2 linked regions of the Macaca mulatta genome follow. The protein of the gene in region 2 purifies or fractionates together with the protein of the main gene of each other region. This does not show direct contact. Links are inferred from orthologs where the notes say so. Each region holds a gene or a part of one and is shown on either strand. Other genes may lie near its edges.

The links. The genes of interacting proteins can lie anywhere in the genome.
Region 1: the proteins of EZH1 (region 2) and AEBP2 purify together in Homo sapiens (affinity purification with mass spectrometry; 3 studies listed by BioGRID and IntAct, with this or other methods). This does not show direct contact. The link is inferred for Macaca mulatta from reciprocal best matches to the Homo sapiens genes EZH1 and AEBP2.

The regions. Positions count from the first base shown.
Region 1 is NC_133416.1:22,038,432-22,043,062, reverse strand, and holds the end of AEBP2 (zinc finger protein AEBP2), read right to left. Parts: intron 2,349-4,631; coding exon 2,123-2,348; 3' UTR 1,264-2,122; downstream 1-1,263. UniProt on the Homo sapiens protein: Acts as an accessory subunit for the core Polycomb repressive complex 2 (PRC2), which mediates histone H3K27 (H3K27me3) trimethylation on chromatin leading to transcriptional repression of the affected target gene.
Region 2 is NC_133421.1:67,059,471-67,064,306, forward strand, and holds part of EZH1 (histone-lysine N-methyltransferase EZH1), read right to left. Parts: intron 3,515-4,836; coding exon 3,423-3,514; coding exon of another isoform or gene 3,417-3,422; intron 2,474-3,416; coding exon 2,433-2,473; intron 1,605-2,432; coding exon 1,479-1,604; intron 1-1,478.

The DNA of each region.
Region 1 (4,631 bases), on a different chromosome or scaffold from region 2:
TCCTCAGGCGATGGCAAATGTCAATTGTGTCAGCCCTTGGGAATTTAGAACTGGGACCCACGTGAGGGAAAAGGAGAAAATCTTAGGGAGCCATGTCTGGGCTTGGTATTGTTGTGAACTGAAACTGACAGAGCAATTGTAAGATTGGACTGAGGAAAAGAAAAGGATGAAATTGATTAGATCAAGCTGTCTAACATTAGACAGGCTGAGAGTTTAGTCTGGTCAGAAATCAGCCATTATATATTTTAGCTATTTTTTAAGTGTCATTAAAAACACCAACTTTGAACACATTGCAGACTACCAACGTGTTAATTTCCGTGCCAGCTTCTTCATGTTTTTGCAGACCTTGAAATATAGCTGCTTTAGCCATCTCTGGCATATATATAATGTATTGAGTAGGTAATAATTCTGCACGAGCCATTTTTTCTTTTTTTTAAATTCAGACTTGCACATGGCCTCTCCCATAAAATTATACAGGGGAGTAGACTCACCATAGCACACATTAATCAAATTCATCAAATGCCAGATGAGGCTCAAGTGCTTCTGCTTAGCAGTTGCTCTTGTCAGAAAGCCAAGGAAGGCTGTACAGCAATAAGCACACAAGTAACACATGTCACGATAATTATTCAAGATTAAGGCTTATCATAAGTTTTAGATACTTTTTGTTTGAATGTTTACATTTTTTTTTCTAGTGAGATAAAGTAATCACCTGTAAAAGCAGAAATGAATCATTGGTTTAAAAATTAAACTTGGCCGGGCGAGGTGGCTCAGGCCTGTAATCCCAGCACTTTGGGAGGCTGAGGCGGGTGGATCACCTGAGGTCAGGAGTTTGAGACCAGCCTGACCAACATGGAGAAACCCAGTCTCTACTAAAAATACAAAATTAGCCAGGCGTGGTGGCGCATGCCTGTAATCCCAGCTACTCAGGAGGCTGAGGCAGAAGAATCGCTTGAACTCAGGAGGCAGAAGTTTCAGTGAGCCAAGATCGTGCCATTGCACTCCAGCCTGGGCAACAAGAGTGACACTCTGTCTCAAAAAACAAAAGAAAAGAAAAGGAAAATTAAACTTAATGAAGAAATATGATGATAAATAAAACAAGACTGCACCTCCTGATGAGAAATGCAATCCGGCATTGTTACTCAATTACTGGCCAACCACACCACTCTAACAAATCATATGCTATGAGAGCAAGTGCCTGTAAGTTTCACAGAAAATCTTTTGAAGGCAAGAAAGTAAATGAGAATGATCTGTCACGCAGTTTCATTTTTAGTGTGACTAAAACTGCTCAACTTGTATTTCATGCAGTGAAATCTTACACAATAGTTCCATAGTCCCCCCAAATTACATGATTTTCAAACAAAACACAGTAAGCTCAAAAGTAAGTAACTCAGATGTTCCTGCCTAATTGAACTACTCAGTGTTATCAACAAAAATTTTATATGAACAAAATTTAAATGTGAAAATGAAAGCTCTTTATTCTATCAAAAAAGCTTATTAAAATCTGGGCTATGTTAAATAAACAGACATTTACAAAAACATAATTACTCTCATTTTCTGATAAAGTCCAAGCTCTGTTGGCATTTAAGGTGGGACAAGTACAAGTCACCCAGCATCCTTGGTGCTAGAAAACTAAGCCCCAGTTGTACTTTTAGGTATTAAGACAACCAAAATTGCCCCCATGTATCTGCAAATATCCTTGAGAGACCATATCATACTGGCTGGTATCACTGATCTAATCCAAAAATACACATCCAAAATAAATATCTGCTGGGTGCAGTGGCTCACATCTGTAATCCCAGCACTTTGGGAGGCTCAGGTGGGTGCATCACTTGAGGTCAGGAGTTCAAGACCAGCCTGACCAACATGGTGAAAAACCGTCTCTACTAAAAATACAGGCCAGGTGCGGTGGCTCATGCCTGTAATCCCTGCACTTTGGGAGGCCGAGGCGGGCGGATCTCCTGAGTTCAGGAGTTCGAGACCAGCCTGATCAATATGGAGAAACCCTGTCTCTATGAAAAATACAAAATTAGCCAGATGTGGTGGTGCATGCCTGTTATCCCAGCTACTCAGGAGACTGAAGCAGGAGAATCACTTGAACCCAGGAGGCGGAGGTTGCGGTGAGCTATTGTGCCACTGTACTCCAGTGTGGGCAACAAAAGCGAAACTCCATCTCAAAAAAAACAAAACAAAACAAAACAAAATTAGCCGAGCATTGTGGCACACACCAGTAATCCCAGCTACTTGGGAGGCTGAGGCAGGAGAATCGCTTGAACCCAGAAGGAAGAGGTTGGAGTGAGCTGAGATTGTGCCATTGCACTCCAGCGTAGGCAACGAGAGTGAAACTCCATCTGAAAACAAAACAAAACAAAACAAAAATACGTATCTAATGAATTCCTTTAAAACTTAAATTTTTTCAAAAAATAAAATTTAAATTTCACTTCACCTGGATGAAAATGTGGATTTGCTGATGTCTGTATTTTGCTTGTTTTTATATTTAGCCACACAAATGAGCATAAATAAGTTTTTAAAATACAACTGGAGGGGTAAAAAGTGTTTAGATTCAGTTTTAATATACCATTGAGTAACTTGTTGAAAATGTAACCAAGTCTATTCTGGTGGAGTGAAAAGACTTGCTCAGATAAAGCAGTTGCTGAAATACGCTCGTGGTCATTGTATTTGTGCTGAATAGTTGTCTCTGCAACATTTTTAAAGATGTTGGGTAAAGCTTCATAATTGTTAAATTTATTAAGGCATTGCCTATAAACTGAGCACCTTTCAGAGTTATTTATACTGATAAGGATGGTCAGTTCTAGAATGTATGTTTTAATATTGAAATTTTTAATAGTTTCAAGACAAGGTTCTGGTACAGATATTTCAAATAAAAATATAAATAACATTTTTGTTTTTTTAAAAAAAACCCAGTAAGTAAACATCTCTGGAACGTAGCTGTACCAGGTGAAGTACCTAGATGCTATTTTTAATTCAGCAGATGGGCTCATTTGGCAGTACATGGTTTCCACATCACTGCTCACAACAGCAGGAATGTGTCGGCAACACAACTGAAACCAAGTTTACACTCAAAATACAAAACTATGATTACTCTTTTGAAATCTCAAGGGAACGTCTGACAGAACATGCCACTAACAAGATGTTTTCAAAAGTCACCATTGAGACTGGGCCCGCTGGCTCACGCCTGTAATCTCAACGCTTTGGGAGGCCGAGGCAGGTGAATCGCTTGAGGCCAAGAGTTTGAGGCCAGCCTGGCCAACATGGTGAAACCGTATCTCTACCAAAAATACAAAAATTAGCAGGGCATGGTGGTGTGTGTCTGTAATCCCAGCTATTCGGGAGGCTGAGGTAGGAGAATTGCTTGAACCCGGGAGGCAGAGGTTGCAGTGAGCCAAGATGACATCACTGCACTCCAGCCTGGGCAACAGAGTGAGACCCTGTCTCAAAAAAAAAGTCACCATTGAATAACTCAGGCTATTATGACATTTGAACACACAGCGTCGGCCAAATAGATGATGATTTAAGCTTCCCCGGGAATCCATTCACCAACTCCTTTTAAAAAGTGAATACTCCCCAGTAAGGAAGGTGAGTGTTTTTAAAGATATTGTCAGTAATTTAACACTGGTATATACATTCCCTAATGTTGTTCTTTCAGACTTCTGGATCAATTTGACTGAAGGAATTGAAATGGAGATTGCAAAGTGACATGGTTAAATGTTTAAAAAAAAAAACAAAACTACCATTTTAAATTATCACTGTGGGCCAAAATTTTTCTCAATATGGTACCACCAAACAAAATACCAAAATAAGTCAGATAATAATGTTAGCATAACACTGCAGTTGTTATCTATAACTCTTACTGTATATTGATTTGTGTTCCCCAAAACAATATGTTGCATTCCTAACTTGAATCAGATATAATCAAGTTAAGATGAGGTGACAGTCAATTAGGATAGGCCCTTAACCCAATATGAGTGGTATCCTTATAAGAAAAGAAAACAGGGCCGAGAGCGGTGGCTCATGTTTGTAATCCCATCACTGTGGGAGGCCAAGGCGGGTGGATCGCTTGAGGTCAGGAGTTGGAGACCAGCCTGGCCAACATGGTGAAACCCCATCTCTACTAAAAATACAAAAATTAGCTGGGTATGGTGACGCACACCTGTAAACCCAGCTACTTGGGAGGCCAAGGCAGGAGAATTGCTTGAACCCAGAAGGTGGAGATTGCAGTGAGCAGAGATCATACCACTGTACTCTAGCCGGGGGAACAGAGTGAGACTCTGCCTCAAAAAAAAAAAAAAAAAAGAGAAAACAGAGACACAGAGAGAATGCTATGATAACTCAGACACACAGAGAGGGCAGCCATATAAAGGCAGTGATCTGAGTTTTGCTGCCACATGACATGCCAAGTCTGGCACTACCAGATGCTGGAAGAGGCCAGGAAAGATTCCCCACTAAGACTCTAGATGGCAGATGGCCTGACAACCCTTGATTTTAGACTTTTAGACTCCAGAATGGGTAAAGAACAAACTTCTGTTGCTTAAAGCCACCAGTTTGTGGTAGTTTGTTAGGGCAGTCCTGGGAAATGAATGCAACTTCCATTTCAACTGTTTATGAACATCAAA
Region 2 (4,836 bases):
AAAAAATTAGCCGGGCGAGGTGGCGGGCGCCTGTAGTCCCAGCTACACGGGAGGCTGAGGCAGGAGAATGGCGTAAACCCGGGAGGCGGAGCTTGCAGTGAGCTGAGATCCGGCCACTGCACTCCAGCCTGGGCGACAGAGCGAGACTCCGTCTCAACAACAACAACAAAAAAATAAATAAAATAAAAAATAAAAAAAATTTAAAAAAAAGCAGGTATAATAATAAGAAAAAAGCAGGTATAATAATAAGAAAAAAGCAGGTATAATAATAAGTGTCCCCTAGAGATTTCCCCAACAAACTTCTCCCTCCCGCTGAGGTGGAGAGTACCCCAGAGAGAAAATGAAATCAGTGCTTTTCACTGGTAAAATGTCACCATCAAAACAAGTATCATTTTGAGAACAGAATGCATCCGTTCTGTGCCATCCTTCTCCACCCACTGCCCAACCCAGCACAACCACTTCTCTGCTGCGGCTAAGATCACTATCTGCTATGGGTTAGGAGGTATTTCCTCCAGCAAAACCGCCTGGGCACCAAGTTCTGCAAGCTCTGGGGACTGCCATCAAACTGCTCAGCTTTGAGTTGGGAAGGGCATAGTGGGATAAGAAGTGAAAGATAAGTACCCGGATGTCTCTGCTGACATCCAGGCCCCGTCTTCTACCTGATATTAAAACTCCAGCTATTAAATGAAAATAGACATACACAGAATCACAAACAGAAAATATCTGAATTAAAAAAAAATTTAAACAGTATCCAGAAAAGGGAAACTGGGGCTGTAACTTAAAAAAAAAAAGAATCTCACATTTCTTTTCTTTTTGAGACAGAGTCTCGTCCTGTTGCCCAGGCTGGAGTGCAGTGGCACAATCTTGGCTCACTGTAGCCTCTGCCCCCTGGGTTCAAGCGATTCTTGTGCCTCAGCCTCCCAAGTAGCTGGGACTACAGGCATGCACCACCATGTCTGGCTAATTTTTGTATTTTTAGTAGAGATGGGGTTTTGCCATGTTGGCCAGGCTGGTCTTGACTCCTGACCTCAAGTGATCTGCCCGCCCAAAGTGCTGGGATTATAGGCAAGAGCCACCACGCCTGGCCTAATTTTTTTTATTTTTAGTAGAGATGGGGTTTTGCCATGTTGGCCAGGCTAGTGTTGAACTCCTGACCTCAGGTGATCTGCCCACCCAAAATGCTGGGATTACAGGCGTGAGTGGCTGTGCCTGCTGGCCCCCCTCATTTCTTAATTCTCCCCTAGAAGACAAAGTTGGGAAGGTATCTGATTTCTGCTTTTACAATCATGAACCTAAACGTTTTCCAGAAATGACTCTTGCAGATCTCATGCACTTATTTCATTTGTAGAATCCCTAAAACACAGCAAAGAGACTATCAGAAGGCTCATAAGTAGTAAAGGGCACAGGAATGGGGCAAGCCTAGGGCACACTGGTGCCGACTGTTTTGGTAGACTATAGGGAAGACGCAGCACACTTACAGTCTGGGTTGCACTGGCAGAACTTCTCACAGAAATTCTGAGTCATGATGCAGGGGCAGGTGCTGTCACAGGGGCGGTCTGGGTGGTCACAGGGTTGGTAGTTGTACACTTGTGTGGAAGAGTTATCTAGGAGAGAGAACAGAGGAAGACGCTGCTGTGACCGTACGCTCCAGCTATCTTCCCTCCCAAGTGTCCAGCTGCCCTGATTCAGAGGAGGCTGGTCCTAACAATCTTCTTGGACACACATTTAGCACCTGAAGTGAGAAGACAGGGATGACTGTTATTCATAACCTGCAATGGGGTGGTCTGCTTTGTGGGGAGGATGTGGAGATGCTACAGAGAAGTATCTAGAAGTGGTGTCAGCTTCTTCCTTTGACAGGTGATAGGGAAGCTATTCTAAACATTAAATGAGGTCTGGAACCTAGCAAATGGCACACTAGAAAAGTCACAGACTGGCCAGGCACAGTGGCTCATGCCTGTAATCCCAGCACTTTGCGAGGCCAAGGCAGGTGGATCATTTGAGGTCAGGAGTTTGAGACCAGCCGGGCCAACATGGTGAAACCCCATCTCTACTAAAAATACAAAAATTAGCCGGGAGTGGTGGTACATGCCTGTAATCCCAGCTACTCGGGAAGCTGAGGCAGGAGAATTGCTTGAACCTGGGAGGCGGAGGTTGCAGTGAGCCGAGATTGTGCCACTGCACTCCAGCCTGGGTGACACAGCAAGGCTCCATCTCAAAAAAAAAGAAAAATCACCGATCACAAGGCCCCTAATGCTACCTCCTAAGAGGTCTTCTCAGTTGCAGTGAGAGGCTGAGCTGTTCTCAGTTGCTGCAGAGAATTCTGCAATCTGCGGAAGTGGCACAGGGTCAACAAGTGCAGCTGTGGGGTAGGGTGATGACCATAGGGTGAAGCCTCCAACTGAACTGCTGAAGAATGCCCTGGTAGAACTTACCTTTCTTCAGCTGAATCTTCCTGCAGTGTGCAGCCCACAATCTGAAAAAGACAGGAAGAATAAGTCTCAGTCACGGCTCTAGGGAGCTCTGTAAATGCAGGTAAATGACAACGTGACTTGCTCTGAGGGACTGTGTTTGATGACTGGGGAGTATCTTCCCAAACCCCTCAACAAGACGACTTTGGTACACAGAAGCAAGAGTCCAGCCTAAATCCAGCTGGCCTGTGCTACAAGATTTAAACTTAAACACACCCCTCCCAAACGACCAAATAACATAAAAGAACACAACACAGAAACAAAAGAAAGCCCAAGCCTATCGGTCTATTATAAAGCTATTGTTTGTCTCCCCATCTCTCCCTTTGTCTTTGTGGAGGTGGAGATATGGGGGAGTTTCAAGATGGGGAGGTGGGAAGGCCTTTCAGGAATCTTCTCCCAAAGAACTGAAAGGGAGGAGTCACAGGGATTTCCTTCTGTATCTAGAAGTGGTGTCAGCTCCTTCCTCTGATAGGTGATAGTCATTAGGGAACAGAGCCAGGGTACACAATTTTTAAAAAAAAACTTCTAACCTAAGTAAAGGCTAGCTAGAAGACAGTGTTATTATGTAACTCAGAAAAACAACACGAACCAAACAAATAAATAAACTCTGGTCAGAGTTGAGAAATGGGTAAGGTGGTAACTAAACCAACAAGGAGAAATGGCTTCGGAGTGGAGCCATGAAGCCAGCTCATGTCCTATTGGCCAGGAGCTTAAACAGAAAAACAGCCAGTTATGTCATGGTCCACAGCACCTGGGGACAAGCAGAGGGCTGATCCAAGGCACAGACCCTTGGGGAGCACTCAGGAGGCTGGCTCTCAGTCATGTGATGCCAAGCTGATGGGCTTACACAGCCTGTGTGGTTGCTAAAGAGGGAGGCAGATGGGAACTCCAAGGGGAGGTCAGAGCACAGGGAACAGCCTGGCTGTAAAACAAAACACTTTGTCCAACCCTTGCCTGTGCTTTCTTTTCTTCTTCTGTGAGGGGTTCATGAGCTCATCTGTTGGCAGCTTCAGGATAAGTGATTCTTTGACTGCAAACTGAAAGACCTGGAAGAGAAATCCAACAGGGCCTGTCACTCCTCGAGCAAGGGGGTCAGGTAAGTGGCCCAACTGGGTGCTGGTCTTGGGAGGGTTCTGAGGAACCCTCAGAACAAGAGGCTGACTGAGCCTCTTGTCAGTCAGGGAGAGACAGAGTGCCATTGGGAGATTGGGTCACTGGCTCTGAAGTTCATTCCTAATTATTTATCCTGACTCAGGAAAGGAGAAATACTGAGCACAGTAACACACCCCTGGCCAGAAGCTGTCACCTACTCTTTCTACCAAGCCACGGGTAGAAGAGCGGGCTGATTGTGACCAATAGTATCTTCTTTTTAGGAAGGGTAACTCTGTGCCTTGTGTAACTGAGTGTAAGGCAGGACAGGACAGAACAGGAATGGTTTCAGTGGGCTAAATATTAGCTCCCTCTGTTGGTACAAATATGCCAGAGCTTTGGCCATTTCAATAGGATGCGTTTTTTCTCTTAAAGCACTGGTTTTTAGTTTTTCCTTTTCTTTGTTGGGGCTATTGGCCCTTTGGGGGGATCTTTGAAAACTGTAAATATTCTCAGGAAAATACAGACAAGAATATTTTTGCATACAAATCCATAGATGGTTACATTGAGAACCTGTGACTCAGGGAAATAGGTATGAGCTCCAAAATGAAAGCAAAGGGCACTTCAGCTTATGGTTCTTTTTTTTTTTTTTTTTTTTAGAGAGAGGGTCTCACACTCTTGGCCAGGTTAGAGTGCAGTGGTGCCATCATAGCTCACTGTAGTCTAGAACTCCTGGGCTCAAGCCATCTTCCCACCTCAGCCTCCTGAGTACTAGGACTACAGGTGCATGGCTTTTTGTTTTGTTTTGTTTTGTAGAGACAGGGTCTCACTTTGTTGCCCACACTGGTCCTGAAATCCTGGCTTCAAGCGATCCTCCCACCATGGCTTCCCAAAGCACTGGAATTCTAGGTGTGAGCCACCTCGCCCAGTCCATGGTTCTATTAATTGTTCTCAGTACAGGAAACATGAAGTAGAGGCCACAGAGTCTCCTCTCAGAAGCTAGGAAGCCAAAGCACTGGGGTTCCTTTCCTATTGGACATGCTGGCCCTGACACCTGCCTCCCTGTCCCTGTTCTTCAGTCTGTCTTCTCACTGTGGTCTTTTCCTGTATCCGGAGCATCAGTGGCTGCTGTCAACTATGTTTCTCGTGATGGTATGAGTGAGAAGGGTGAGGTCCAGGCCTAGCTATTGGGGGTGATAATTAGAAAATCCAGTGATGGCCAAAATCTAGTGGTGGCTCGCATCTTAATTCCAGCACTTTGGAAGGCTGAGGCAGGTGG